Drosophila melanogaster: one gene and its partners. The protein of the gene in region 3 interacts with the protein of the main gene of each other region in a pairwise test. Each region holds a gene or a part of one and is shown on either strand. Other genes may lie near its edges.

Region 1 (13,259 bases), on a different chromosome or scaffold from region 3:
GTTGCAAAATGACTAGACTCCTCCCCTTGAAGTTGCAGTCAAGGGTTTGTGGGCGGAGCCAAAGCTTTCAGATTACAAATGCTAAGTAGTGAACAATACAGCAATGCAGCGGACAAAATATTGTATATAATCCATCCATTCATTTCCTTGAAATTTCTTAAGACTTCTCAGAAACTAAAGGTTATATATTTTATGAATTTGGGAAATATTTCACATGCAAAATAGTTTATTTCAAAACCTTAACACTTATGCTACTTTGTTACCCTATAACTAATAATAAACGTTTATTAATTCGAAGCCAATGTTGATAAAATCTACGACATTTATAATAATTTGAACTTCGATAAGTTTGGCGGCATAGCGAAGTTAACCACCCAGGCGGCGCAACCAGAACTTGTACCTTAATTAGGGTGTTCGAAATGTGCCCCAATGTCACAGCAGATACGTGCACACTGGCAGCATGTTTAAAAAGCGTAGACTCCCAATTGGACGGTTCTTATTGGAGCCTAGCTAGCACGTGTGTGAAGAATTAAGATCGAGATTTAGAATTGCCAGCATGGTTGCCCAGAACTCCGACAAAATGCGGGCCCTGGCCCTGAAGCTCTTCGAGATCAATGCCTTCAAGTTCGGCGACTTCAAGATGAAAGTGGGCATAAATTCGCCGGTCTACTTCGACCTCCGAGTGATCGTCAGTTATCCGGATGTGATGGTCAGTATTTGGGATTAGTGCTCCATGTCAATGGCAGTAGCTAACTTGGTCTTCCCGCAGCAAACCGTATCCGACCTGCTGGTGGAACACATCAAGGACAAGCAGCTGAGCGCCAAACACGTGTGCGGTGTTCCCTACACGGCGCTCCCGCTGGCCACCATTGTGTCCGTGCAGCAGGGAACTCCCATGCTGGTGCGGCGCAAGGAGGCCAAGGCGTACGGCACCAAGAAGCTGGTCGAGGGCATCTTCAATGCTGGCGACACCTGTCTGATTGTCGAGGACGTGGTCACCTCCGGCTCCAGCATCCTGGACACGGTGCGGGATCTGCAAGGCGAGGGCATTGTGGTCACCGACGCCGTGGTCGTCGTAGACCGTGAGCAGGGCGGAGTGGCCAACATCGCCAAGCACGGCGTGCGGATGCACTCGCTCTTCACGCTCTCCTTTCTGCTGAACACACTTCACGAGGCCGGGCGCATCGAGAAGTCCACAGTGGAGGCGGTGGCCAAGTACATCGCCGCCGTGCAAATCAACAGCGATGGTACCTTCGTCGGCGGCGATAAGGGCGACGTTGTCAGAGGTGCGTATGCTCCAGATCCCCGTGATATCTGCCAGATAGATAGATGCATAGATAGATAATAAGTACATGACACTCGGCCAGCACATGGCCTCGAACAAATTCAATTAGGGAGCGCTCCAGTCGCGCTACTATAAAGTTATACAACCGCCATAAACGGCGGTAGGCCGATCTGGATTCCACTATCGGACCGGATCATTCCCGGGAATGCGGCACGTGATTCTGATTCAGGGCAGTGTCCGGTCCGCACTCAATTATGCCACCACGCTTATCAGCCCACTCGAGAGCCAGCCTGCTCCTTCAATCAAGCCCATCTTCTATAAATAATCACATTTCGTTTATGGCGCTTTGATGAGATGTATGGGAACCGGTTTGCTTTTTGTTTCCACCTGTAAAGTCACAGTATTCTAATCTCATCATAATCATCGTCTTTGCCTTTGGGGAGTAACTTTTGTATATACTCTTAAGATACTGTATAAACAATAGCCAAAATTGATTCCCAGTTGAAAAGAGTTATGTACTTTGGGATCGCCAAAGTGTGAAGCTATTGAAGAAAATTGGCATAGGTACAAAACAACCATATAGCGATAAGAAGAGGCGATAAGATAGGTCTACGTGCACGTTTCAAAATTGAAGTGTTAACTAATCACCATCACTTTCCCCGCAGCCAACGACTTGCAGCGCACTAAACTGACCTACGAGAATCGCGCCAATCTGGCTAAGAGCGCGGTGGCCAAGCGCCTCTTCAACCTGATAGCCAGCAAACAGACGAACCTCTGCTTGGCCGCCGACCTGACACACGCCGATGAGATCCTGGACGTGGCCGACAAGTGCGGTCCGTACATTTGCCTGCTGAAGACGCACGTAGACATTGTGGAGGATTTCAGTGATAAATTCATCGCTGACCTGCAAGCTCTGGCCCAGCGGCACAATTTCCTGCTGATGGAGGATCGCAAGTTTGCAGACATCGGCAACACGGTGTCCCTGCAGTACGGCAAGGGCATCTATAAGATTTCCAGTTGGGCAGATCTGGTCACGGCCCACACCTTACCTGGACGTAGTATTCTGCAGGGTCTGAAGGCGGGCCTTGGCGAAGGAGGAGCCGGCAAGGAACGCGGCGTCTTCCTGCTGGCGGAGATGTCTGCCAGCGGCAACCTGATCGACGCCAAGTACAAGGAGAACAGCAACAAGATCGCAACCGAGGGAGCCGATGTAGATTTCGTTGCCGGTGTGGTATGCCAATCCTCCGATGCCTTTGCCTTCCCCGGACTTCTGCAACTGACGCCCGGTGTGAAGATAGACGAGGGCGTGGACCAATTGGGCCAGCAGTACCAGAGTCCGGAGCATGTGGTCAAGGAGCGGGGTGCCGACATCGGAGTGGTGGGCAGGGGCATTCTGAAGGCCAGCAGCCCGAAGCAGGCGGCTCAGACGTACCGCGACCGCCTGTGGGCAGCCTACCAGGATCGAGTTGCCAAGTAGAAAACCCAAACAGCATTCCCCCTTAACGAATATTCCCCAATACCCATTCCCCCTTGGTTTCGGTTACCCTAGATAAGTGAAAAAATCTTCCAATTATTTACCGCGATTTTACAGTGCATTTATGAATTGAACATAGGCTATGAATCTTCCGCAAAACAGTTGGCAAACGATGCTTGCCTTAAAGTAAGAGTTACAACAAATAGAATGGTTAACAATCGATCCAACGAGGAAATCCTTAGTAGGAGGCCAGGCACTGCAAGACGTAGCTGTAGTCTCCGGAGAGGTCGTCCTGGAAAGGAGATCAGTGGATGGTGAATGTGACCCAGCTTTGCCGTTGAGTGTAAGCCAACTTTATTAGTTAATACAAGCACAAACTACGCATACGACTTTGATGCGCCATAATTTACAATAAAAAAAGACATGTATACAAAATAAAAATACGTAAAAATGTTAAATAATCGTTGAACGTTAGACGTTATTGCACAGAGGGAAAATACTAAGCGTTTTGTAGATTGGATTTTTAGAACACATCACAACTACTGTATATAGACCAACTCCATTTGTTCTTCGCTTTTGTTATACTTTTTTTTGGGGAAATGCAACGTTTTTTTGTTTTTGGCATTTTCTACTTGAACAGTGGGGTATTGCTCATAGATATTCGGATATTCCGGCTGCTTCCGTCTACCAAGCCGTAAGAGTGACCAGGACGTATCCAATATCGGTCTCGGCATCCTCCTGTTGTTGGTTCGTTTAAACGGGTAGAGAAAAGCGTGAAAAGAGCAGAGGGTCAGAGCATTAAACGCCTTTTACTTTGTATACATGGCTTATGGTTTGGTTAATTGCCGGAAGCTACTCCTCCAAGGGGTAATCAACTATATATCTACCTGATCAGCAAATGAATGTCTTTCAAATTTAACATAACATTTAAAGTTTTACATCTTGAAATTGTATGTACATTATATTTACATGTAATTGACATGTACTTTTAGCAAGCAGTGCAAGTATATTTAGATCTAAATTGAACTATATTTAACAGTTTGTATACCTTATACACTTGCTGATCTAGTTTATATAGACAATTAAAGAGGGCTAATATACTCATTTAGCCCCATTTAAATCGATTTTTAAGTTGGTTTAATCCACGCCCTTTTTAATGTTTAATGTTTTGATGTTAGGCGACCCAATGTAGCGCTGTTATTTACATGACAAGCAGTGCAGAGACCTCTGCTAAAGGTAACAGAAACTCGATTTGAATTTTGTATTTCATTTTTTCGTATTTTTTATTTTCGTATTTTTTAAAAGTTAAAATATCTTGCAAATGAGACTCAAAACAAAACTGAAAGTATACCTACACAGCAATGCAAGTAGCCTGAGGTGTAGTAATTATAGAGATACAATTATGTGCATGTGGCGTGCATAGTCATAATAATAAAAGTCACAATGGTTATAATAATCAACAGGATGCGAGACTGGGGTTCTGATTCTACGACTTAAATGCACTGCGTCTTCGTTAAAACGTGTTCCAATTCAAAAACTATACATTGTCAACTATTTGATATCGGAATTTTGTTTGTACATTCTGTTTGCATATAGTTTAGAGCGTGGAACAGACGAAAGAGATAAATTATTGTTGGATGGGGTTCTTTTTAGAAGCCAACAATAGCCAATAGGGCACGCTTATAATCGCCGGATGTATCGCCCTAAAAATATAGAATATGCCAAGTTTTAATGTTTTATGCACACAAATGAAGCAATCGGGCGGGAAGGGATAATGGCTTCAGAAATCGGCAAGAAAGTGTTGGGCAAAGGAGCAGTAACAACAACAGGAGAAGCCAGCTTGGATGAACGATTATTAAACTTTGATGGAGCCACAATTAATGGGATTTGTTGCAGGTGCAATCGAATGCGAGTTAGTGGCACATTGAACAGGGTGCAGAATCGAAAGTTCTGGCAAGCACACGCAGATATGAATGTAATTGAAATCGGTATTTACCTTGATCCAGGACTCCAAGCTCTTGCCGTACTTGTTCTGGAATGCCTCCTTGATGTCACCCAGATCGATCTCCGACCGGCTGACAATGATGCGGATCAGCGTCTTGTCCTTGGTGCCCATGCCGGCCATTGAGTCGTGCAGGCGCTCCGAAAAGTAGTCGATCTTGGACTTGCAGCACTTGACTGCAGAGCAATGCATCAGTTAGAAGGGACCCTAAAGAATAGGATGCTATAAGAACGTACCGATGGCCAGGAAACCCTTCTCCACGGAGCCGCTAAACTCCCGCTTGATGGCCTTCTCGATGTCGTTGCCCGACAGATTCTCGTATTCGAGGAAGATCTGGCGCAGCTGCTGGTAGGAGCGGGTGATCAGGATCGAGTTGAAGGTGGACTCATCTGTGCCCCACTGTCCCTCGCCGGCGTCGTGCAGAGCCTGGGCATCGGCGATGGCCGCGGCCTCGTCCACGCCCTGGTTCTCATCCCGGTTGCCCTGGACGAGCGAGACACACAGCCGCTTGAAGTGGCCACTGGTGTCGCCCTTCAGGTCGGACTCTAGGGACTTGCCGAAGCTCTGCTCGTAGAACTGGGCAATGGTCTTGATGCCGTAGTTGGACAGCGTGCAGAGGATCTCGATGATGGCCTCCTCGTCGGTTCCCAGTCCCGAGATGGCGTCGTGCAGCTCCTGGGCATAGAACTGGGGCAGCGGCGTCATCAGAGCCAGGATAACATCCTCGAATTTGCCGCCCAGTTCGGACTTGAGGTCCGAGATCAGGTCCTTGCCGTACGAGGTCTTGAACGCCTCAGCGATCTCCAAACGCTGGACGATGCCACGCCTGGCCAGGATCTCGATGATGGCCTTCTCGTCGGTGCCGAAGCCTTTCATCGCCTTGCGCAGAATAGCCGCATCCTCGACGGGATCGAAGGGATCCGCCGGGTAGACAGTGGGTGTGCACTGCAAATCGAATATAGGCAATCAGCAAATGAGTAACAACAAAGAAGAATTGGGTGTATTTTAATGCAGGGCACGTAATCCCAAAGAAATGACTCAACACTACTCAGTGGCACTTGTTCTAAATACAAATACATATGTGGTTATTCCCTACATGTATTATCTCAGTATTGCATGAATTCCTCTGCAATAAAGTTAGCTTTCTAAATTGACTTTTTTTTTCGTTGTGACTCTTATCTAAGGAACTCATAACTGAAACCCTCTTATCACTCTCTTCTCCCACCAATCGGTACTTGTTTGTCAACGATTGTCTAGTATACACCTCTGATGATAATTTAATAGCCCAATTATAGATAATTTCGTAGCATCTGGTCGTTGTAATAATTTATAGATTGCATCGAGAAAAATCTTGCTTACTTGACAACAACACACGTTTTAGAAAAAATAATATTAAGATATTCTCATCTATCTGTTGAATCTAATTTGATCTGATTTTTTACATTAACGGCGCTAATCGCATGAAATAATTGATTTATACCAGACTCATAAAGTACAATCCATTGTAAACTCACCTTGAATGGGTAGTACTCAGCGGAACTCATTTTGATTGGTTTGTTGTGAAAAATCTGTAAGTAGGAAGTGAGAAATCATAATGAATAATGGCTACGCCGAAATCGTGATGAAAACTGAACCCCCAGCAATGTTGGATACGTTATGTTTCCCAGACCCAATAAGCCCGGCCTTCGGTTAATTCCTGCCTGGTGACATCATCAACTCGTAAAAGCCTCACATTACGCATACGCCCCGTAGCCAGCCTGGCGCTGGTCTGAGAGCATTTTTACCCATTGATTTTTTTTCCTAGTTTATTTACCGAGATGTTTTTTTTTTTAGTTTTCCTTGCCGACCGGTGCCCAAATCGAAGTTCAACGTACTGCCGGGGAAAAGTGAAAGTTTCCACTTTTCAGTACGCAGTTTGCGGAGGAACGAACCTTGGAACCGGGTGCGTCTGATAGCCAAATGGCATGGCGCGGCAGTTTCGTGATAGGCCAGACCAAACCCACACGAAGTGGCCTCATAAACGGATGAGCTCATTGCGTTCTGGCTTGGAAAACATCGGGCACGGCTTGGTTGTGGCCAAGAGAAAGCTTCAGGGAAATGTCTGACTCGTCACCCGTTTGCGTTCTAGATCTACCACTCCACTTCAGTTGTCAAGTGGAACACTATCTCGAGGGACTAGTCCACATAATCCCTAAAATCAATAGGGCCAAATTACCTAATGATAAATGGATTGAGATTTTTGATAGCTTCCCCAAATTAGTAATCACAGTGCGACAGTGCTGAAAATACATGTTTGCCTTTCTATGCTGCCGCCAAAGTAGAAAGTCAACAAAAGGCAGCCGAAAAAAGCATTATAAAAGACTTGACGTGGCGACGCCATCCAAAAAAACAAAAAAGTTAACAAAAAGATACAACTACAAACGCCTCTGCAGTCGAGCTATAAACAAACAAAATGTTTTGGCCAACGTTGAAACCGGTTCTTTTACGTATGGCGTACAATTAAACTCAAGATTCTAGTGTTTATAGACTACTTTAGTTAATATATGATTTCTTTTTAAATAAATTATAATGCAAGTTGAGAATAATGTAATCAATAATAATTGGTTAGACTCTCTAAATATTGATTGGAGTTCTCCGTAATAGTTTGACCTCAATGTAGAAAACACATTTGTGTTTGAAAACACCCTTAATTACAATTCTTTTGTTTCATTATAAAAAGTGGTTGGGGTCTGGAAAAAACAAGATTGATAGATATGCTTTAGCATAGCGTATCTGGTAATGTTGTTCTTGAAATAGACTGATGATACATTGAAATTACAGCACTCAGTGATTCACCAGATTTGTGACGTCAATTTTAAGCTCTGAGCACGACTTTAAAAAAGAGATATTATAATATAGGTGTAAAAACTGGAATAGCTCGTGACCATGTGTGAAAAACTCCATAAACAAAAGCTTTTGCCAACTTCTTTTGGAGACCTCGATGGACTGTACCTCGAAATGTTTCAAAAATGTTTTGCAAATGCACTGAGCAATTCACTTAGTAATAAACCTTGATGACACACCTATTCTACTATAATTGCACGGCCTCGAGTACACTACTACTATATTTTGTGGACGGTGGAATGTGGCCACATCCGATTCCGGTGAGTAATGCTGAGCAAGGCACAGGCGCTCATACACAGTGCTTACTGTAGTTTGAAGTGCCTGTCGGGCAATTGAAGTTGATTGAATTACTAAATTAAGCAGGGCACTGGGGGATAGAGATATTTCGAAAAATTCCGCTTCTCATTCCTACGTAAAATGGGAAAGCAAGAAAGGAACAGAAAAGTTTACTTAGATTTCGTCGGAGATGAGAAAAGTCACACGCGTCGCGAGAGAAAACGCCAAAAGAGTGGGGCTTTTGCTTTTGAGTTTGATGATGTCATCTTTCGGTTTTGAATTTTTCTCCCACCCGAGGCTTTTATTATTGAAATATAAAGTAAATAGAGAAACAAGATTCTGGAGAATTCTCGCGATACCGCACCCACAACTAGAATTCTACAAAATGCCCATTTTGGAATGGCACAAATGAAAATTATCTTTGAGTGTTTAGCACACACTTTCTTTTCTCACTTTTCCGACTGATTTTCCGCTTGATTTTTTGCGATTTCTGGCACAGCGAGAGTAAACAATGAGTTTTATCTACAAATTCCTTTTGATTTACCAATGATATTCGATTTTCAACGTACAAGTCAGACGATGCGAACTGCAAGCGATGTGAATAAATACCATAGCTGTTTGCGCTCCGTCTTTGGCTTTTATACTCGCGCTCTCTCGCTGGAAGTCGATTAGAGATGAACCAACCGGCGATAGGTTGTTGTTGCTAGGAAATATTCGGTGGTAGCGCCTAACTGGAAGCTGGTATCTTCTGCGTCGTCATAGTATACACCGTAGAATCTAAAGTGTTCCGAGATGGATGAATCATCGGCATTGGAAGCTGTTGAGACATTCATGATATTTCCGTTGTGATAATGACGACATTGGGAAAATAAGATCTGATTACGCATTGAATTTCAAAATGTAACCTTTGACTTCAATATTCAGCCGTTAGGGCAATACAGTTAAATAAATATCCTGTTCCTTCCTAAGCCGTTTTATAACTATTTTTATTTGTATTTTTATAACTATATATAAAAACCAATTACGTTAATTGTCAGCCGACATCGAAGCAAATTCAAATCCAAAACTATCGATATATCGATGATATGTTTGCGGTTATATGAAAAAAGTCAACTCTTATACCTGTTAATTACCGTTCTGGCAGAATCTTATTAATTATACAAATTACTATGGCGCCACTTGGTATAACATCAAATACCTTTTGCCCGAGCACTCAGTTCTATTGATCACGATCACATATATTGGTACTGCAGTATATATCGGTGCATTGACTTATCGAATAAAGTAAAAGAACCACGACTGTATCTCTTAATCATTTAAATTGGGCGCCCCTAAAACTGCAGCAACTACCTTTTGTCAAGCTCATCACAATAATTTATCGGCTTTTCGTAGCATATCGATGCATCCATTGTATCGAATGAAATTTAGTTCAGTTAGTTTCCCGTTTGTTGGTCTCTTTATGAATCAATTGTTTAACCCTTCTCCTCCCAGAAATTTGCAGACATCCCTAGCGGCATCAGATCATAAGTTCCTCTTGCAGTAGGAGTTAGTCATCGGGATGTGAGTATACATATGAACATAGAGCGCCAGTGGCATCTTGTTCCCGATCCGGCTTTGTCGGCCCCTCCCTTCTTCGGTGTTTTGTGACTTGTTATCTGGGCCACGAATCGGAAGCGGAGCCCCTGCAACTGAAAACCTGCCCCGACTACTCACACTCGTCATGGTGTTTATCTATCTACCCAGCAGATAAGGATAAGCGAGTAACCAGCGACCAGAAACCGGTAAAAAGAATGTGGAAGGCAAGTGCCGGTCACCAGATTCAGGCCACCAGTGCAGCCTCCGCGGAGGACGACGACTGGGAGACGGATCCGGACTTCGTGAACGATGTCAGTGAGCAGGAGCAGCGCTGGGGATCAAAGACGATCGACGGCAGCGGTCGCACAGCAGGCACCATCGAGTGAGTCATCCGAAATTCTCGAAACACTGGGTATCGGGTTCATTGTTCCCTTTCTTTATTCTTTTTAGCATGGACAAGCTGCGCGAGGAGACGGAGCAGGCCGATCTGGACAAGAAGAAGCAGCTGCTGAAGGATCAGAACGCAGGATACGGATACGGGGGCAAGTTTGGCGTTGAGAAGGACCGCATGGACAAGTCGGCTGTGGGTCATGACTACCAGGGCAAGGTGGGAAAGCACGCCTCGCAGAAGGACTACAGCGATGGTTTTGGGGGAAAGTTCGGAGTGCAAGAGGATCGCAAGGACAAGTCTGCCGTGGGCTGGGACCACGTCGAAAAGGTCGAGAAGCACGCCTCCCAGAAGGATTACGCCACCGGCTTCGGAGGCAAATTTGGAGTGCAGTCCGATCGGGTGGATAAATCCGCCGTGGGCTGGGATCACATCGAGAAGGTGGAGAAGCACGAGTCTCAGAAGGGTAAGTTACCTAACGGAAATGAATTTCTCATTGATTTTTTCTTAGTATGTTCATGTCTGATTATTTTATTTATATCTTCTCCCAACATAAGATTACTCCAAGGGCTTTGGCGGCAAGTTTGGCGTTCAGGAGGACCGAAAGGACAAGTCCGCGGTGGGATGGGACCACAAAGAGGCTCCGCAGAAGCACGCCAGCCAGGTGGACCACAAGGTCAAGCCAGTCATCGAAGGTGCCAAGCCTTCCAATTTGCGTGCCAAGTTCGAGAATCTGGCTAAAAACTCCGAGGAGGAGTCACGTAAGCGGGCCGAGGAACAGAAACGTCTCCGTGAGGCCAAGGACAAGCGGGATCGGGAGGAAGCCGCCAAGAAGACTGTGGCCGAGAACACTCCTCGTACCTCGACGGAAGCACCGCCTCCAAAGGGCAGCAGGGCGGCCATCCAGACAGGTCGGACCGGTGGCATTGGCAATGCTATCAGTGCATTTAACCAGATGCAGTCGCCTGTTTCTGAAACCCCTCCAGCACGAAAGGAACCCATTATCATTCCCAAGGCGCAGCCTGTTAAAATAGAATTAGAAGCAAAGGAGGAGCCAACGGCAAGTACAACATCAGCTGCGGTTGCTCCTACTCCGACAGTGGTCCCCGCTCGAGAGCCGGAAACAGCTCCAGTGGCCAAGGCTGCAGCTCCACCACCAGATGTGGTGCCCCAAATTGAGGTTGAGACCGTGGACACGCCTCCCAGAAGTGAGCCGCAATCACCAGTGTATGTGCCGACGCCTCAACCCGAAGTCCACGCCCAAGTCCAAGTCCAACCTGAGCCGCAACCTCAAGCCGATCCTGAGCCAGTAGTTGAAGAAGAGCCACTGTACCAGAACCAGGCCGAGATTAAGGCTGCCTCGCCCTTGCCACCAACGAATGGAACCGTTTCAGAGGCTGTTGCTCCGAGTGGCACCGCAACCGTTCCCGAGGAGGCAATCTACGCGAACTCAGACAATTTGGCCGACTATCTGGAGGACACCGGAATCCACGCCATTGCCCTGTACGACTACCAGGCGGCGGATGACGACGAGATATCCTTTGATCCAGATGACGTGATCACCCACATCGAGAAGATCGACGATGGGTGGTGGAGGGGATTGTGCAAGAACCGCTACGGACTCTTTCCAGCCAACTACGTGCAGGTGGTGGGACAGAACTCATAAAAGCTTCCAATTGAAATTCACGATAGAACAAAATCAAATTGTATTTACATACTAACGAAAACGATAATACTGATGTTGGATTATAAACCATATAAACCAATTCGCAACTAACCCAGCCCATTTCCCATCCATTGTTTACCCTCTTAACCCTCCAAATTATGTGCAACGAATGGCTAGATATTGAATTATTATTGTAATTTGTTATGCTAGCACTTAAAGTAACCGTGGTATTCCATTTTTGATATATGTATCATTTATTGCATTTTACATTCTTTGTATTTAACACATTTATTTTACCAAGAAAATATGCCAAGCTATTTTAGATATCTCTCATTTCATATTTTATGCATTAGTTATGATATTTGTGTCAAGTAACGATTTTGGTTTTTTTGAATTGTATAAAGTCTACGAGAGTTTCCCGTGTCAGGTGATCTGATCTAATGTTAAAGACGGATCTAATGTTGAAGACAGTCACAAACAAAAAGTCTGCTCTTTTGATAAAGAAATACATAATTAATAAAGTTAAATAATAACGAGTTCTCTCTTAAATTGTGGTACTGATAGTTCGGGTGTTTTTGTTTTTTTTTAAGGCCTAACAAATCATTTTACTAAGTAAAATGATTTCATTGGATACGGGAATTCACAAATTTCTATAAGAAGATAAGAACGAGCATATTGTTGGGTTCCTTCTAATATCACGAGGATATCTCTATTTTGGGGTAGAACTGTCAAGGCCTTTCTTGGATGGGCCGAATTCTTATCTGCCTGTTCCGAACGCATCGTAATCTGGCAAAGTAGAAATTGTTACATGAAACGAGCTACTGACATGATTCATGGTGCAAATGTGAGTGCATATGGGCTCAACAAAGAAAGAGTACTTTGCATTGTGGTGATTAATTAGTTAAAAAACATACATAAGTAGGATGTACGGCCATATTGTAAATTTGAGCGCCAATCCCAAAAAGACTTGATAAGATTTATCGCAATTATTGGCGACGGATCGTAATCGAAAAAAGTGTCAGACGAAATCAAAGTTTTGACTGATAAAGTTGATGTATAAATTAAACTTCAAGGAGGTATTACGATAAAGTGTGCGTGTTGGTAATAACGTAGATATTATTAACTAGTGATTGTAACTCAAAGGGTATGCAACTTAACTATGTATCCCGCATAACATTTCTAACGGTAACCTGCGGTCGATGTACAAACCGGTATTTCAAATGCATGTTCAAATCTTAGGCGGTATTTCTGGGGCCTTCAAAAATCCAAATCTCAGGCCTTATCAAAAAATCTCCCCTCAAAAAAAAGCAGTGGTCTTTCTCCCACGCACACACTCTCTCTCTCTCTCTTTCTGTCTTTCTTTTTCTCACTTGCCGACGCGAGAGAGAGATATTTTGAATAAATAGGGGCTACCGCAAAATGCTATAGTCAGTCACTCGATCGCGTGGGCTCAGAGTTAAAACTTCAGTTTGGCCGATAAGGTTAGTACTCTTGTCGAGTGTTGCCAGATTTCGGCAAGTCAAAGAAGAGAGAGTGGCCGCAGGTTGCCACATTGGGCACAGACGAAAAGACAGTGTGCATGTGAGAGGCGAGTGAGTGTGCGTGCAAAAGAAAGCAGCTGGTGGCAGAATCTCAAATATTGTGAGGAAAATTAATAAACAAAGAGCTGCGCTCACGGCTGAGCACAAATTGCCTGCACGCTCGTCAATT
Region 2 (8,514 bases), on a different chromosome or scaffold from region 3:
CCACACAATTCAAAATGGCCGGCGTCTGCAAAAAATATATATTTATCTAATGCATACGAAATAAAACTTCCCAAATTAGCTCATTGTTTTTGCACGCCCCACGAGAATTGTATGCTACCACAATCACTAATTTCCTGCGTTTTTCTCTCTTTCTTCCTCGCTTCCGTTTCGTTACCGCATTCCGCATCCGGCATCCGCAGTGGTTAACTGGAAGCTGTTTCCGTTCTAGTGAAAGTGTGAAAATGCAGCCGCATTGGGGGAACGTTTGGAACTGGCACGCAGACGTCACTGCCATCGAAATTGGAAGAAGTGTTTGCAGCTTAAAGTGTTTTTAGCTAGAATTTATTACTATTATACTCTGTACGAAACCCTATTGATTTGTTGTTAGTTCTAGCCGCAGCTAATTCTAATTTAAATGATTGCCTGTTTGCTGAGGGCAACGCAGCAGCCAGCAATGTTGTTATGTTCAGTACACGCATATATTATGTAATCTAATTTAATGCAAAATGCAAACAATTTTGTAAAATAGTACATATAATTCTGTAAAAACTTCATCTACACATGCACGCACTTTCGGCAGACAACCTAAATTATTTCTTGAGCCACAAATCAATCGAAAGGAAATTTAATAATAATCCCACTTTCCAATGTGATAAACATATATAATTTGTACACTCTACTTAACAAATATTTATCGTTTCCTGTTGGGAAAATGCTAGAAAGGTGGAGAATCGATAATATACTTACCTTGCCGCACTTTGCCTGCAGAAAACTCAAATTATTCACTTCATTATTGTAATAAACTTGTTAGAAGCCTAAATTCTAAAAAAAAAAAAAAATCCATCACTCTACGTTTACCTAGCCTAATGCTCTTTTCATGCAGCAACAAAATGTAATAGCTAAGTTTTAGTTGTAGTTAACTGAACATCGTATAATAGATGAAACTGTAAATTTATCACACACACAAAAGAAACAAAAGCTAAGTTAAACAATAAATATACAAAAAAAGATTTGAATGTACGAAATGGTGTATTTCTGTGCTTCTATGCGAACTGTCATACCAAAGTGCCTGAAAGTATGCTATTAAATGTGACCAAGTATTACAATTGAGTACAAAGAAGTCCACAAGTTAAAAGCATAGGTGATAAAATATATTTGCAGCAAGTACAGTTCCTAATCACTATCTTAGAAAGTGACACAGCGCATTACCAAAGTTCCAATCACCGAAAAGTAGAAAACCTATTCAATACGAATGAAGAATGAAGGTAGGGCAATCTCCTGGCAAGTCCAGCATGTGGCCGGAAATTAGCCTAAGGGGCCTTTGTGCCGGCGGGCATTAGGTAGCGATTATAGGTGGCCAGGTTCTTGACCAAGGCGGCCACGGATAGCATGCACACCATTCCGGCGGGCATCAGTTTTCCGGATCGGTTCCAGCGGGCGCCCATCAGCCCGGCCAGGAACAGGGAGGTGCCCAACTGGAGCAGGGGACGAGGCGTGTCCTGGGAGTTGAGGTGGGCGCCATAGCCGAGCAGGGCTCCGAAGGCCAGACCAGCACCCAGCGAGGGAATGGAACCTGGAATGCAGGGCGTTGCACAATCGGACATGACCACGGTCAGGGGGCTGGTCACTTACCCGCCTTGGCGTATCCCATGATTCCTCCGGCGGCGACCGTGGCTGCGTACACATATCCGAACCAATCCACCGGCATTTCGATTTATTTTGATTAAATTTCGGGGTAACCTTTGTTTTGGTGAGAAGTGGAGGTGTTAGTATGACCCTTCCTGCCTTAGTAGAAAGAAGATCCGCTCCGCAGTGCACGAAATTCAGACATCTGGCAGCACCGTTTCGCGGTCATTTTGAATTAAATATGTGCAACGAACTTCCTAATCAGAATATTTATTTCAATGTTTAGAACGCTTCTATTCGAAATATTCATTGCAATGTTTAGAAAGTTTGTTGGGCAAATATAAGTTAGTTTACTAATGTATGCATTACAAAAAGAGCGATGGTTCCTCTAATTTAAAAAGCCATTCAATACATTTATGTTTTTTTTAGATTTATTGCATTTCTGTCTGGAATTTTATTTCAAATTCGTAGCCAACATGTTCGTGAATTTTACAATAGACGACGGTGACGGTGTACACGGCGAACCACTCGCCCCTGACCACCACCTCCATTCTGATTACTCTGGTTGGCCTGACGCCTCTCGCGGCGGAGCTGACGCCTCAGCCGGCGCAGCCGACGCCTGAGCCTAATCACTTCCTGGCTGCTGCTGGATCCACTGTCACTGGGCGATGTGGGCGTAGCTGGTGATGTCGAGGAAGCGGGCGCATCAGGAGTAGCTGGCGAGGACGGTGTTCCAGTCGCTGGAGTTGGCGAGGTCGGTGTACCAGCAGCTGGGGATGCTGAAGGTGGTGTTCCAGTCGCTGGGGATGGTGAGGGCGGTGTTCCAGTCGCTGGAGGTGGCGAGGTTGGGGTTCCAGCCGGTGGAGATGACGCGGGTGGGGATCCTGCCGCAGGTGGAGAATCGGCGTAGGCAGTTGCTATTAGGGCCAAAAGCCCAAAGGCGATAACGAATTGGCAACGCATCTTCAGCTCAGTTTGTCACTAAATGGAGTACTGTGTGGATAGTGGTTTAAATCCGAGTATTTATAGGGATGATCCACTTGATTCGCTTTAATTGTCGAATCTGTGTTTGCTTTGAATGTTTTAGAGTACATTTTACGTTCTCGTCAAGACAAATAGATTAAACTCAATAAAAAGACGAGACTATCTTCTCTGTAAGCGCGAAAGCTGTTGATGGCTGTGGAAAGTTCTAATTCGTTAGTAATTAAACAAAACGGTTTTTTTTTGGATTGGCTGGCTGAACGTATTGTTAGCATGTGTGCAAACACGGTACATTGTTTATTAAATAGATGAATATGTATTGTTAAGCCTTTTGAACAGAAAGCCATATTTAAATAACCTCTAAGCTTAAATAAAGATTAAGATGGCATATTGTACATAAAGAATGAATTCTCACTAAAAGAAAACTTAGAACAAACTCCTATTTTTCACTTTCATTTGCAAGTTCCTAATCGATTAAGTTATCATCTGGAATTATGTCTGCACTTAGACCAGTTCCACTTGATCAACTAACTAGATCGGAAAATGATTTACTTAGGATTCTTCATTAGAGTATATAGTGTAGCCTTCTTCTTCTTTTCCAAGATGAAACCGAATATTGAATTTCTTTGTTTGACTAACAATTCGATCCAAATGATTTCACTTGTTTTTAAGGTGCCAAGTTACCAAGTCATAACTACGATTGTTGCTTTTGTGTATGCATTTATTTTTCAATTTGGACCATTTCATTGTTCGATCGGGTTAAGCCGATGGTTTATCCCCTACGTTGGCGCCTTCTTCCAGCACGACTCTGCTGGCGCCTTTCCTGCTGCCTCTCCCGGCGAATCTCCTGGCGCCTCTCCTGACGCCTCAGCCGCCGGAGCCTGCGAAGCCTGCGCCTCAGCCTGTCCACCTCCTCGCTGTCGGAGCTCGTGGAGGAGGAGGACGTGTCGCTGGACGTGGAGGGGGCCGTGGTTGTGGCAGTCGTCGATGAGGTGGAGGAAGTGGGCGAAGTGGAAGAAGAGCTGCTAGGAGTGGAGGACGAAGTAGACGTAGTGCTATTGCTGGACGGAGTTGAGGTGGAGGACGAAGAGCTGGGTGTCGAACTTGAGCTGGAAGTCGATGGAGTCGATGAATTGGAAGTGGGTGATGTGGAAGAGGACGAGTCGCTCGAGGATGAGTCGGTGCCACCATAAACGGTCGCCACGAGGACAACCAAACCAAAGGCCAGGACGAATTCGGGTCTCATCTTAAGCTCTGTCTGTTGAACACTGTACTCAAGTACTATACAGCATCCAGATCTGTGTCTGCTATTTATACGATCTATCTGGAGGGGTTTGGTCCAAAATCTCAATCTGTGCGTCGTCTTAGTTTGATCTTAACATGTGGCATTTGCGGCAGTGTTTTGTTGAACAAGGTGTGGAAAGTTCCTATGTTTGTCGAATCTACAACAGCAATGGAGCTTCTATTTGCGCAGTGTTATTTTTAGTGGATGTGCCAATACGGCTCAAGAAGAAAGTGCTTAACTTAGAGGATGTTTAATATAAGAACATTTAATATTAAGCAAATATTAAGTGCTCTATCACATTTATTGATGATTAAATCTTTCTTTGAATAATAATATGCTGCTTAAAAGAGAACACGAAGTGACTCTGCTTGCATTGTAGTATTCATTTTAGGAAAGCCAACTTGAAGGATTCTGGGTAGAATGGCCACTTTACCCTTCCTTATCTTACGAACTGATTGTTCCTATTGTATTTAGTTATTTTATTCAGAATAGTCCAATTACCTATTTTTGCTTAGTCACTTCTTAGTCAAAAACTATATTTGTCTAGTGCCTGTGCCGTAGATTGTTTCAGAAAATCAACAACTGCTTCAATGTTTAACTTCCCAACAATAACCTTTCCAGCTTTCCAGACGTTTTCAGCAAAACACTGGGCCACGTGCCAGATGCTAAGATGTAAACCACCCACGGATTGAGATTTTGGACCAAACCCCTCCAGATAGATCGTATAAATAGCAGACACAGATCTGGATGCTGTATAGTACTTGAGTACAGTGTTCAACAGACAGAGCTTAAGATGAGACCCGAATTCGTCCTGGCCTTTGGTTTGGTTGTCCTCGTGGCGACCGTTTATGGTGGCACCGACTCATCCTCGAGCGACTCGTCCTCTTCCACATCACCCACTTCCAATTCATCGACTCCATCGACTTCCAGCTCAAGTTCGACACCCAGCTCTTCGTCCTCCACCTCAACTCCGTCCAGCAATAGCACTACGTCTACTTCGTCCTCCACTCCTAGCAGCTCTTCTTCCACTTCGCCCACTTCCTCCACCTCATCGACGACTGCCACAACCACGGCCCCCTCCACGTCCAGCGACACGTCCTCCTCCTCCACGAGCTCCGACAGCGAGGAGGTGGACAGGCTGAGGCGCAGGCTTCGCAGGCTCCGGCGGCTGAGGCGTCAGGAGAGGCGCCAGGAGATTCGCCGGGAGAGGCAGCAGGAAAGGCGCCAGCAGAGTCGTGCTGGAAGAAGGCGCCAACGTAGGGGATAAACCATCGGCTTAACCCGATCGAACAATGAAATGGTCCAAATTGAAAAATAAATGCATACACAAAAGCAACAATCGTAGTTATGACTTGGTAACTTGGCACCTTAAAAACAAGTGAAATCATTTGGATCGAATTGTTAGTCAAACAAAGAAATTCAATATTCGGTTTCATCTTGGAAAAGAAGAAGAAGGCTACACTATATACTCTAATGAAGAATCCTAAGTAAATCATTTTCCGATCTAGTTAGTTGATCAAGTGGAACTGGTCTAAGTGCAGACATAATTCCAGATGATAACTTAATCGATTAGGAACTTGCAAATGAAAGTGAAAAATAGGAGTTTGTTCTAAGTTTTCTTTTAGTGAGAATTCATTCTTTATGTACAATATGCCATCTTAATCTATATTTAAGCTTAGAGGTTATTTAAATATGGCTTTCTGTTCAAAAGGCTTAACAATACATATTCATCTATTTAATAAACAATGTACTGTGTTTGCACACATGCTAACAATACGTTCAGCCAGCCAATCCAAAAAAAACCGTTTTGCTTAGTTGCTAACTAATTGGAGATTTGTCATTTGTCCCTGGCTTTCTAGCCAGAGCATCACCTTCAGGTACGTCAACCCAACCGGCTGATCCACGCCCACTTCGCCTAGAGGCAGTGAATCCAGCAGAAGCCGTGAGATGACCAGGTAGCGTTGGGTCCAAGGACTTTGAGGCTCTCACGGACTTTCCTATTTAGCAGCTTATGGACTGACGATCTGTTGATATATTTTGTATGATTCTAATAGTACTGTGATCCGATAAAATATCTTTCAGATTGTAACGAAAGCTATCTTGTGCTCGTTTCGAATTTTTTTGGACTGAATCGTAAACACTTCGTGGAATTAATTATCTTTAGTTCTAAAGCCTCGTGAGTTTATTTCGAAACAAGGTCTCATATATGTTCTGCATACTTTCCGGGCGTTCTGTACTTTAGGAAATTCGTTACTACGATAGTATGAAGCCGAGTCACTAGTTCAGATAGAACCAAATGGAGTGAGAAAGCTATGCGAGCTAAGAAAGCTTGCTGGTACATGCTGTGATTCTGTGGAGGACTGAAAACATTTCTCTTATGGTGTCTTAAGGTATGCAACACAAAATTGCATTCACATTTATATCTAGGGTTTATATTGGTTTTTCATGTAACAATTTTATTTGCATTGAGTTACAATGTCATGTGAGTTGGGATTCCCATTTCAGCCCCGACGGCGCTGCTGGCGCTGGCGCTCCCTCCTCTCACGGCGTCTCTCCTGGCGTCTCTGACGACGTCGGTAGCGACGACGCCTCTCCTTGCGGTTCCGCTTGGATGACGAAGAGCTACTGCTGGAGCCGGAGGATGAGGAGTCGCTCGGGGAGGTGGACGTGGTGGGCGATGTGGAGGGCGAGGTTGTGGAAGGAGACGGATTAGTCGAGGATGAGCCAGTTGAGGTGCTGGGGCTGCCAGAGGTGGTTGATCCCGTACTTCCGGTGCTGCCAGTGGCCGTACTTCCGGTGCTGCCTGTACCCGTGCTTCCGGTGCTGCCAGTGCCCGTGCTACCGGTGCCCGTGCTCCCGGTGCTGCCAGTGCCCGTGCTACCGGTGCCCGTGCTCCCGGTGCTACCGGTGCCCGTGCTCCCGGTGCCCGTGCTCCCGGTCCCCGTAGTATCGGTGCCCGTGCTGCCGGTGCCTGTGGTATCGCCACCAGCATAAGCGGTCGCCAAGATGGCAATAAGACCAAAGGCCAGGACGAATTGGAATCGCATCTTTAGCTCCGTCCGTTGAACACTGTACTCAAGTACTGTACTTTCTCTGCATTTAATTAGGGTATTTATACGCATCACCCACGATTTTTTTGGTTCATTTTCAGACTGTGTGTTTGCTCCGAATCATCATCATTTGCCGCACGTGGCTTAGTAGGATATTCTTGAGACAATTTGGCCGATGACTATCGAAAATACATTTGTTTGAACAAGTCAACAATGGGGGAATTGTGGATTTGTTAGATCTAGTTTATTCTAAGCAAGTGTGCAAACACAGGCAGCTCGGGTATTGTTTTGAGTTCTACTGAATAGCTATTCAGCCATTCTAGCAGTGCTTTAGCACTCGGCCTTATTTAAATAACCGCAAAACAGATGCGTGTTTGGTTCATAGAGATTTTGAAGGATGTATAAAAATAATATAAGATAGCAATGCCTTGAACGCAGTGGAGTTCGAGTTTTACTAAGGTTCAAGAGATAGGCTTATGGCGGGATTTTGACTCTTTAATGGAAGAGGTTCGTGTGATTAAAGCTGAATTAATAATTACTGAACTACCATAAACAGTTCTAAGGAATCTATACAATCTTTCAAAATGATTTCGAAATCCAATTTCGAATCGAAGCGAAACGAAACGGTCACACTGCTTAACAGTCGCGCCGCGAGACGTTGCCACCCGGCTAATAAAATACCAACGTTGCCGCTCAGTGGTATTCCCGCCTCGGCCGTGCACTGGCCACACCAGCCACCGCCTTCGCTTCGCCGCCCGCCATCCAAATTCGATTCGTTGGTGTTTTTCGCTGCGCTGGTGTTCGTGTGTTCGCGTTGGCGCTGTCATCATCATATCGTATCGCATCGCTCCGCTCCGAAAACCGTGGCAATTGTCTGTTTTTTTACCTGCCAGCGAGTGCGTTTCAGTTGCCCGCCAACCGGCAGGAATCGCAAATTCACGTGCGCCACTCTCCAATTGGACGAGTGCCTTTAAAACAGTGCAACAAGTGGTTTTTACAATTCTTACCAGCATTCAGTTCAAAGTGCCTAACAAACACACGCACACACATACGTAACCTACCTGACCAGCGCGCATATGTGTGTGCATGAGTGTGAGTGATACAACAACAATACAATAGCAGCAACACAGCTACGAAAATAACTAACTGCTTTCGTCGCAGTTTTTCTGCAAGTGTATGGGTTAATTGCGCCGAAAAATGTTAATTAATTGAAGCCCAATTGGAAATCGCCAGTGGCAAGAAAAGCTGAAACTAAGATCTGAACGCAGATCTGGTGAGAAATCCCAAACGCGAGGATCTGTATCGCGTGTGTGTCAATCGGTTTAAATATAGATCAGATCACAAGTGCACTTAAACAAACAGAAGGGAACGAAACAAACAAGTGATTAACCGACAGGTAATTACAGCTGCTCTTCTTTTGCATATTTTGCGCGTTTTCTCTGCCAGATATTATTCGCTTCTCCTTTATTGTTTTACCTTTCTTTCGCTTCTAATAAGACTCTTCTTTTTATCGGTGTGGCTGGAGTTTCTTGTTTTGCCACCCATACAATCGCACAAATACCTGTACAGCAC
Region 3 (10,339 bases):
CGACTTTCCTCGTTTTTTTTTATTTGTGTCCAGCTTTCTGTTTGCTTTTATATCCTTTGCAGGCCGCGACTTCCACTTTGATGGAACGAGCGCTGTGTTTTATTTTGTTCCTCCTTCATTGTTGCCCCTGACTTTTGGCAAAAAAAAAGAGGCGGAGGAGAAGGGGGTTTGGCGTGTAGTACCACGCTCGTAGTGAGTTTTTGTGCCCCATGTCCTTCGTAGTAGTTAGTACGCGTGGTCCAAAGTCAGTCATCAGCCCATACGCATTTCGCTGGTCCACGTAGAAAAAGTCGCTATTGAAATGCAAAGAAATGGAACGAACGACGTAGAAAGGAATGGCAACGAAAAATTGAAGGAAAATGGGGCACAAAGGATTCGAACGTCCTGGAAAAAAAATCTGAATGGGAGAAGGCAGCTTAGAATGCCAGAGAGACACATTTTTCGTCGGCAAATATTCCCTATTTTCGCCAACTTGATACTATGAAGCTTCTGCAGCTTGAGAAATAGTTGCAAAACCTAAACTTAGCCGATAGATATGAATATATCTAGAGCTAAGCGATATACTATATATGCTAGTCTAAGATAAATGTATGTTTCCTAGATGTATTTCCATCGAAGCAGCCCTGCTCATAAAATCTGGAAATTTTCTTTGAAACTCGTACCCCATATAGATCCCAAACATATTTAATATAAACACTAACATCCAATGTGGGCTCCTCTGCTCGCTTTCGTTATCCTTGGGCTAAACTATGCAGCATCCTCGTTCGTGAACTGGGATAATGTATTTTACGAGCAGCAGGCGACGTATCTGCGTCCTGGTGAGCCCCACATCCAGGAAGGACAGACGCTGCTTAACATGCTGTACGTGAACAACCAGGTCCAGGTCTACTGCCAGCCGCCAACAGCGTTCTCCATGTGGAATGTCTTCCAGAGCAACCGCCTGCGCCTGCAGATAGCCGCTGGCGAAGATTACACTCAGTATAAAGGAGCCACCGTGCGGGAAGTTCATCATGCGCATAGCCAGCTGGATGAGTGCCACGAAGGAAAGCCCTTGGGGCATTCCGCAGCAGACGAGCCACGGATCGTTCCGATGGCCACGTATGAGCACTCCTGTTACGGCATCTACACATCCAAACCGTTCGTCCTCACGCTTGAAGTGATCAGTTTCGACCTTGAGCGGGTAAGCCAGTTCACCTTTGGCATCGTTTTATGGTTAAGCTGTCCGCTCCTGGCGGATTCGCTGCTTTTCTTCTACTGCTCAGCTGCGGCCCTGGGCGCCCACCTGGCGGGTTTGTTGGCGGTCGCAGCCACCCTAATGGCATCTGATGGCGAGCGGTACCTGCGACTCGGAACGCTCAAGGTGAACTTCAAGCTGGTGCTAAACGAGCGGCCCACCGTGATAACCTTGGCGCTGGTCAGTGGCGCCTGGTTGCTGAAGTCCGCCTCCCAGCGCTGCAGCTTTTTGTGGCGGTGCACTCTGTTTCGCCGCCTGCATCACCGCTTGCTGAAGGGCACCTCCTACTTGCTGATTCTCACTGCATCCGATCACAGGGGCTTTGGGATGACCTGCCTTATGCTGTTGATGCCCTGGCCGGAACTTTTGACTGTAATACGCTGGCTCAAAACCCTATACGCTTGCTACAAAAGGGGCTCCGTTAAACCAATGGTCCAGGTGGAAATCGAGAATCAGGACGTCCCTTATCAAGACTCATATCTTCGGATCGTGCGATCCGAATACGATAATCGTTCATCCGAAAGCAGTGGTTTTAGCAGGAGTTTTAGCCAAAACAAACATAACATGGGCTTTTATCGCGAGCAGGAGGATCAGGATAATGCCTTAATCTATGAATCTAGACGACCTACCGAGCGGAACTGCTTCAACAGATGTCACCAGTGTACCCCGACTAGATCACCCCGTCCAGAACCCCATTTGACCTCCTTATATCGCAATCTTCACTATTCAAACGCGAAAAGCAGCTCCACATTTATGAGATAAAATAACCGACAACCTACACGAAATCGGGCCAGGACTCGATCCACTTCAATCGAATAGATTGCGAAAATTTTCCATTTGCCACGATAAGTTGCCTTATGAAAGAGGTTGTCGATGGGTGGGGAAATCTATAGGCAAACTCATAAACCCAAACCCATAGATGGCAATCATTAATCACCAAAGGACTGAGATAACAGATTCGATATGTTTTTATGCTTTATAAACAATTAAATCCATGTGTATATAAATATTCTTTAATCGTTTAATCACCCAATATAGGAATCAAGAATAATAGTGGTGAATAACGGCTGAACTCAAGTTAAAACCTCCTAAGCAGACGTCCATGGAGCTGCATCCGTGCCGCTTTTAACTTAATTGTCCTGATTAGCATGCGTCCGTGCCTGTTATCCTCGTTGAAATTTTTGTGCTTTTGACATTCGTTGGCGCATGGAGTTACAAAATAAGAGACTGGCCTCCATGCGCTGTGAGGCGAAGGGGTGTTCGGGTGTTGGGGTGTGGGGGGCACAAATGTGCCTATTACCTCCCATCCTGCCCAGCAGTTTACCAATAGGCACAGGAGCGGAGGAGCAGGCTGCTGATACTGATGCTGATGCAGCTGCAGCACTGGAACAACAACAAAGTTCGGTCAAACGTCAGAAATGTTCGTTCGCTTTGGCTATTGAACGCAGTCCAAAGCGCAATGAATCCACCCACTGCCCACTGTTCACTAGCCCACCACGCAGTGCCCACCCCATGCAGGGACCAAGGACCTACTCCTCGGCCCGGGCATCGGCAAATGCAAATGCAAATGGGTAAAAAGCGCTTTGACGACCATGTGGATGGAGGCGGTTGGGCTGTTGCTGGACGCAGTGATGAGTGGGCGGTGGGGTATGGTGGACAGTTGGCCGGGGCAGGCGCAAAACGCATTTCAAATCGAAAAGTGGTACTTCACTCATTTGGCGCGGGGAAACGGCGGCAGGTGACTAACCAGAGGATTCGTTTCTCCACATCGGAATGAATACAGGGTATCACGAAGAAGAGCAGGCATGGCAAATACTATACTTTGATAACCTTTCAATGGTTTATGTTTTATTATTTTATTATTATGGATAATATCTAAAACCTAGTTTAATGATATTCGATAAACAGTATTCATGAAATATAGTTCAAGATAACAGTTTAAAATACACTTCTTTTGACTTGTGCATGTTTAACTGAAATAGAAGGGTATCAGCTAGTGGCAATCCCAATGGTTCCATCACATTGGATGTTTCTCTTTTCAGTTGGTATGCTTGGCTGTAGGAAAAATTGACTAAATGCGCCGTTTTGTGTGCATTACGTTCGAAGGCGACCTGTACGGGCGGACCCCGTCTGTCGATATCGAAGCACGACCAACCATTTCTAATTGCCATATTTCCCATAACTCTCCAAGCTTGCCAGTTTTCTATATCAGCTGTATAATTTTCGAAACTTTCCGGTTTTGGTGGTTGATTTGGACTAGGAAGAGTGCAGCCAGGGGTGAAGTGGGGGTTGTGTTGGGTTTTTGGGTGGGTTGAGACTGACTTGGGTTGGGTGGTGAGGCGCGAATCGACTCGGGATGGTCGCTAAAAAGTGCATTTTGAGCTGTGGTGTCCCGTTTCGGGATTATGGGGGTTGTGCGTGATGGCGTCAAAAGGTCAGTGGCAGGGTGGAATATCATTGAATTGGAAACTAGAAATGAATTTTTTTTCGAAACCAACATAGATTTACGTAGATTGATGGCAAATAAATAATACTAGCACATGGATTTAGTGTTCAAGATATTAAAGTGTATAAAATTAATTTCGTGTAAAACTTAAAATTATACCAAACTGGCAATCGAGGATAATGCGCTTAAGATGCTGATATACCACAAAATCTGACGTTAAATAATCGTTTCGATTATCATAAGCAGTATTTTTAGGGTTTAAAGAAAGGATATACATTTTTGATGGATAGTATTCCATTTTATAAAAAGCGGTTTTGATTATTATTTAGTATAAATAAAGACCGTACTGTAAAAAACTGTAGCTGAATCTAGTGTATTTAGAATAATACAACAAATTATAACTAGCAAATAACTAGCAAACTTAACACCTGTATCTTAGTAGTGATAGATGGATATAATATTTTCATTATGTTATGTTCAGGAATATTATTGAACAACCATTTAAGCTTCTTTGATATAGTCGTGCTTTAAAATTAAATATATTACACACCTGCACCATTTTGATGTCCTTTTGCGGGTGTCCCGTTAGTGAGTCCTCCTAATCCAACGGATATTTCCGTGCCGGTTGTTCGGCGAGCGGTAAATTTAGCAGTGGGAGCTGTTAGAGCGAGACGCCAGCAAAACAAACGAAACCAGCTACAACAACTGAACTTAAGACGCGAGAGAGTGGCGCACGTGGTGGAATCACTTTTGTTTTAGTTGCGCTTTTATTGCACCGCCTGTCGAATTCATTGAATTTGGGGGGGAATACGCACGCACACACGCACTCACGACTGCATTGGCGAATAGTGTGGGCGAAGTGCAACGAAAGAGCGGGAGAAGCGAAACGAAAGACACGCGGTTTCAATTTGCTAACAGTGCCTATCGCGATAGGAGTGCTTGTGTCTTGGTTTTACAATTAATTGTATTGCACTACGCGAGCTTCAGTTGACTGCACCGTTTCGAACCGCATCTGGCTCACTACTTGCTTGCTTTGCGTGCGCCAAACGAACCGAACGCGAACTCAGTCAGTTTATTCCTATTTCCACGACGCGTTCTAGAGTCAGCTGCGATGGCCAGAGGTGGCAGCGGGCCGATGACAAGCCGATACTATCGATGTATTTATCTATCTATCCATCATCGTTGCCCGGCTGCGGATATCGATTAGTTGCATGGGCCGCTCCGGTTTTTCAAACATTATTTCCATATTTTTGTAAAAAAAGTTAAATGAGAAGAAAATAATAATAATAATAATAATAATGTATAATAAATGTGCGTCAAATTAGCGACGATAGCGGAACGGTGGAAATTGGAACTCGGGGACTTTTTTTTTGCGAATTGTGTCCCGCTGATCTAAACTACCGTGTCCCTATAGGCTAATAGGCTAAGCCTAATTATATAATGATCCTGAAAAATGCTTTAAAAATTATCCACCGATTTCCAGAAATCCGCCTCACAGCGAAGGAGTTTAAATTTATTTAATAATGCCGCCTTCTCTAGCACCACAGCCAATCCATGTCATAAACCACATTATTAACAATCAAATTTCGACTTTAAAGATTTATTAATCGGTTCAACCAAAGACACTAAAGATACTTCTAGTGTACTTCTACTTCAACGCGCACGTTACAAACCCATGCTCCCACAAAATAAATATATACCGAAAAATACTGCCAGTATATTTACATCTTAAATTCATGGAGCATGCAGCTCGGACCCAAACCGTGGTGAAAAACTTGGATGTAATCATATCAATTTCAAAAATATTCAAATCCGTTTCAATTTTATACAGAATAATATATCTGATTACTTTTACATATATATTTAGACATTTGCTTATATCTGCAGAGCCATCTCATCATACAATCACCTTATATTACAAACTTATTAGGGAACAGCAAGAGCTAAGCTTCTGATCCAATCCAATTAAACATTTTCCAAGCCAATTAAACATTTTCGCAGCTATTTATTTAAAGAATTCCCGTTTGAGAGCGTTCTAGCAGATGATTTAGCGACACCGGCTTCCAGTTGCTGAAGCTGCCATCGCTGACCATGCAGACGTGACGATCGATGTAGCAAAACAGCTTTCCCACACGATAAATCTGTAAATGCAATAAATCTATTAGTATATAACGCTCTGTGGTCGAAAATGGATTAACAGTCACCTGTTTGCCCATCTCCCGTCGCCCTGGCAGAGGAGCGAAGATGATTCCCAAGTCGGCGCATTGCTGCGATACCAACTCTTTGAACTCCAGCTGAGCGGGCGGATGAATCAGGTCCATCATTATGACTGGAGCCGGAGGAACTGGAGGCGGGGGCGTGGGCGTCACCGTGGGCTGCAGCAGGGTATCGCTGGCTCTGTGCATAATTTCCAGTGCTCGCCGCAGATGCTCTTTAACGCTGGGCTCGCGCAGAAGCGGTTCGCTCAACATGCTCTTCCAGCCGGTGTACCATCGCGAGATCTCCGCGTAGTCCGGCGACTGATTCAGCCAGACGACGAGCACTTGCATCCAGCGCGGGAAGAAGTGTCTGTCCAGTAGTTGGGCCATGTACATGGGATCGATGAGCTCGTGCCACTCCCATACCTGCTGCCACAGCTCCAGGTCCTGGTGCATTGGATTGATGATGAGCTCGCCTAGAGTCGCCTGCAGTTTGGGCACTATGTACCGCTGCAGGAACTCTTGCATCTCTTCCTCGGGGAAGGCCTTCTGCCAGGGCGTAAGCATGGCTCTGGCTGATCGGTCATGCGGTGACCAGGCGCGCAATGCTATACCCAATTTGCTGCGGATCTGAGGATAGACGGCCTCCTCCAGCTTGCTGCCCAAGATGGCATGCCACGGCAGCACCCAACTGTCGATCGGAACGGTGTCGGTGAGCGGATCCCACTCCTGGACACCAGCCACCAGTCGTGGCAGAACCAGTTGCTCGAGAACCGAATCCAAGACCCAGCTAGGTAGCAGGGGTGCCCAGGCATCTAGGAGTGAAGCCATTGGCGGATGCTCCTTCGGCTGCCATGCGGCAGCGCTGGACCGAAACGAAGGCATCACGCCGGCCCAGATGAGCGAGGAGTACGGATCGAAGACGTTGCGGGGCTGCTGCTCTGCTGCATCTCCTTGCTGGAGCATGCCGCGCCATTTCTTGATGAGTGGCAGCGGTTCCGTTGGGTTTTCCAGTGGCTGCCACTGAACTAGTTCTCGCTTCAGGAGCGGCGCTATTACACCGGCTGCCAGATCTGCAAGTCCGAACTCATGGAATTCGGCAGCGTAGTCCACGAGCAGCTCCCGAAAGAGTCGTTCAGCCTGAGGTAAACTCAAGTCTGGATTATCGATTAACCGCTCCACGCGCTCCAACGATTCCTCCAGCGTGCGTATGTGGTTTCGTTCTAGCTGGACTATCTCCTCCAGTTTCCGGTGCTCGCTTTCCAGCGCTGCCTGCTGGCTGGAACACTCGCGTTCCTGGTTGTCGATGGCGATGATCTGCTGCTCGCACTGGCTAACCAAGAGCTGGAGGTTGTGCGTCAGCTCGGGCATGGCAAAAACGCAGGCGGGAGCGGATCCCTTTTCCGTCGCCTCCGTGTCGTAGAGCGTCTCCTCTGGCGTAATTTTTGCCTGTCCCAAGGCATGATAGCCACTCAGCACTCGTTTCTCTGGGCCTGTCATATCGATCACCCGCACATTGCCCAGTTTCTTGCTTAGCTTCTCCGACAGTAGGTGGCCGGACGTGTGACCCTTGGCAATCACCTCCTCCACGGACTTGTAGTAGTAGCGCTTACCCTGCCGCTCCATTGGTTCGGCGCCACCGGCTGAGCCCTTTCGCCACTTGTTCAGCTGGTCTTTGAACTCTTTCGCCTCGCGCACGTCCTCATCCACTTTGATGCTCTTGTTCGTCTTTCCTCCGATGCTTGCCGCAGTTTCGGGTCCATAGGCGCCGATAGCACCTCTGCCCTTGCGGACATGGGCTTGCACAGGATGCGAAATGCCCTGCAGATCTTTGCCCAAACCCTTGCCAGGCTCATAGCCCATTTGAAGGAGTAGCTTAGCTCCAATGCCGCGTGTATGCTGCTCCCAGGCGCCCACGTTGCGCTCGCTGGCGATGTGGGAGCGATGCTGAAATGTGGTGCTTGGCTGTTTCCGGCTCAGCGTTGGCCTCTCCTCTTCTGATGAGCTGTTGGAGCTGCCCGGATCGTTCTGGCCGAAGGCTGGCCGTCCGCTGGCGGCGGAATCGTCGCTCTCCTCGCCCTGGTCAGCCTCTGCTCCCTCTTTTTGCGATCCTTTCTCATCATCGGCTTGGAGCGCCTTCTTCTTCTTTTTGCCCGCCTGCTGAATGCCGCCGGCCACAAAATTGACGGGCATGGTGTAGTCTTTGGGTTTACGGGCGGCGCGCCCCCTTCTCTTAGTTCCGCCCTCGCCACCACTCTCCTCCTCGCTGTCATCCGCCCAAATACCTACAGAAAGTTCGTTTACAAACAAATTCCGGCATGTATTTCAATACATACCGTAGATCTGTTGGTGCCTGCTCTGGCGGCCTCGGGGCCGATTGATGTTGAACTCATTGTCCAGATCGTAGTCCGTTATCTCGAAACGCTCGTAATCGTTGTCCGACATCCTGGCTAGACGTGTATATATTACTTACAGCAGAAACTGAAACTTTTGTGAATGTAAACAAACGCACCATTGACAATAGGGATGGCCCTAAATTAGCAATTTTATCGATAAGAAAATCGATACAAAAGTACTAAATACTAACTTTAGTACACTATTAGTATCGCTTATCGGCGCCAAAATAAATTTAAATTTTTTGACAATTGAAAACCACAACTAATTGACTCAATTACCGAACTATTATTAGTTTAGTAAGTTCATTCCTAACAGAATGAGCTCCCTTTTAATTAGCATAAGTACGCAGTATGAAATACTTGAGAATCCGATTTCAAAAGAAAACTATTTTTAGAAAATTTTTTTAAAGGTATTTGATTATAGTGATAAGATATTAAAATCGATAAAGTAAGAAATACATGTTTATGCCGCCTAATCGTCTGTTGACCATATATGTATTTGGCTAACACTCGATTAGCGCTATCAATTGGTTACGTCTACTGAATTGTTATGATAAGGATAGGAAAATACGACAATATTGATAACTAGACGGATAAGAAAATCACTTGAACTATGATAGCTTCGCGGGAACTTCAGTAATTTTAGTCTGTTTCCATTATTCATCGCCGAATGTTGTCTGTCTCGTTCGTGAAATAACTTTTAATCTTAACAGAAAAAAATCCCTCAAACAATTTGCGTCGTTTCGTACGTCATAAAATGGGTTAATCTTTAATGTGCAAACTCTTGTCGATGGAAATGAAAGTGTCAGCCGGTAAAGTGAAAAGTTGTTCTCTGTGTATGGTACCATAAATGTCACCGTTTTTATCAGAGTACGTAAATCATGTTTAGTTTTACTGGGTAAAAGGAGGTAGTCATCTTCATTGTTGGGCAGCCCCATTATCAGAACATTATAAAACATCGATGAACCCCCTTGCATGCTACCACATTACATGGAATCTTATCGGATGAGTACAGCACTAATTTCAGTTCATACAATAGGCCCAGTAAATTAGACATAACTACAGACAAAAAGCTCAGTCGCTGCCATAAACTCTTCTTTCGATTTCCATATCCATTTTCAACGGAATTATATCAATATTTCTGTTTCCGTTCACAGGTCAATAAGTTCTTTGTGTTCTGTTAGTTAAGGAGTTCCTGTGAATCAATGTTCTCGAAATCAGCATGGCGACCATAAGTTTTTGCAATAGGAAATATGTCCGTCTGTGGCCAGTGCTCATACTGTTCAATGTGGCACTCCTGCTGGTTTGGAGGAACCTGCAGCAGGCCCAGAAACTGGCCGCATCTTCTAATACTGGTGGGCAAAAGTCGGTAGGACTTTTGCTGTCCAACGAGTCGAATCCCTCACGTTTTTCTGCAAACTTCCATCTCGCCAATGATCAGCATCCGAAAATAATCCGGCGAGAGGACTCCGCTCGCACCAAGGAATTGCGATCATTGCTCAAGTGCCGCGACCGATCGCTCCGTTTCGAGAGGCTTCAGCACGGAGAGTTCTGGCTGCTTCAGAATCTTGTCATGGGACGAAAGAGTCGGGAAGTCGGCTGTGCCGAGTCCGTGACGTATACCACCAACGGGGACTTTACGTTCTTCGATAATCTGGAAATGGTGGTATCACGGTGAGTGCTCTTTTATCTAATAAACACTTAATAGCAATCTATAAAGATTTCTTTGCTAACTTAATTTACTTATTTTCCAGTTGGCGTGCTCCAGTTAGTTTTGCCATCCACACTCCAGGTTATGATCTTAACACCACACTGGATGCCATTCGGTATGTGCGAAACTGTTTGCCGGAGAGCGATAGCATCAAGGACTGGGTCTCCTTTCACGTGTACTTCCCAAATCAGCACATGCCGGAATACGTGCCATATGACGAGGCCGAGGTACTAATGTATCCGCACATGTGCACCCTGGCCAATGGATCGTTGGTATCGCCGCTCTACACGCAAATCCCAACCACGGATAGCTACAAGTCAAGGGCCAACCTCACGTACCCCATCAATGTGGGCA

What was found.
Region 1: the proteins of CG11030 (region 3) and AnxB9 interact in a two-hybrid assay, tested with the Drosophila melanogaster proteins (one large-scale study listed by BioGRID).
Region 2: the proteins of CG11030 (region 3) and CG12491 interact in a two-hybrid assay, tested with the Drosophila melanogaster proteins (one large-scale study listed by BioGRID).

Annotation. Positions count from the first base shown.
Region 1 is NT_033777.3:21,060,516-21,073,774, reverse strand, and holds AnxB9 (annexin B9), read right to left. Parts: upstream 8,535-13,259; 5' UTR 8,374-8,534; intron 7,893-8,373; exon of another isoform or gene 7,824-7,892; intron 6,330-7,823; 5' UTR 6,306-6,329; coding exon 6,276-6,305; intron 5,707-6,275; coding exon 4,998-5,706; intron 4,938-4,997; coding exon 4,756-4,937; intron 4,463-4,755; coding exon of another isoform or gene 4,409-4,462; exon of another isoform or gene 4,021-4,408; intron 3,498-4,020; coding exon of another isoform or gene 3,444-3,497; exon of another isoform or gene 3,236-3,443; intron 3,219-3,235; exon of another isoform or gene 3,052-3,218; coding exon 2,998-3,051; 3' UTR 2,858-2,997; downstream 1-2,857. Other genes in the region: r-l (rudimentary-like), read left to right, coding at 557-709, 770-1,286, 1,951-2,762; cortactin, read left to right, coding at 9,711-9,877, 9,946-10,349, 10,441-11,549.
Region 2 is NT_033778.4:23,746,024-23,754,537, reverse strand, and holds CG12491 (uncharacterized protein), read right to left. Parts: upstream 3,893-8,514; 5' UTR 3,854-3,892; coding exon 3,380-3,853; 3' UTR 3,313-3,379; downstream 1-3,312. Other genes in the region: CG5532 (uncharacterized protein), read right to left, coding at 1,311-1,573, 1,633-1,708; CG11300 (uncharacterized protein), read right to left, coding at 2,116-2,589; CG34105 (uncharacterized protein), read left to right, coding at 4,686-5,159; CG13560 (uncharacterized protein), read right to left, coding at 6,394-6,939.
Region 3 is NT_033779.5:5,719,120-5,729,458, reverse strand, and holds the start of CG11030 (uncharacterized protein), read right to left. Parts: upstream 4,804-10,339; 5' UTR 4,240-4,803; coding exon 4,231-4,239; intron 3,045-4,230; exon of another isoform or gene 1,997-3,044; coding exon of another isoform or gene 707-1,996; exon of another isoform or gene 648-706; intron 1-647. Other genes in the region: CG14006 (uncharacterized protein), read left to right, coding at 707-1,996; sip1 (septin interacting protein 1), read right to left, coding at 5,690-5,821, 5,885-8,163, 8,215-8,323; CG11149 (uncharacterized protein), read left to right, coding at 9,497-9,948, 10,029-10,339.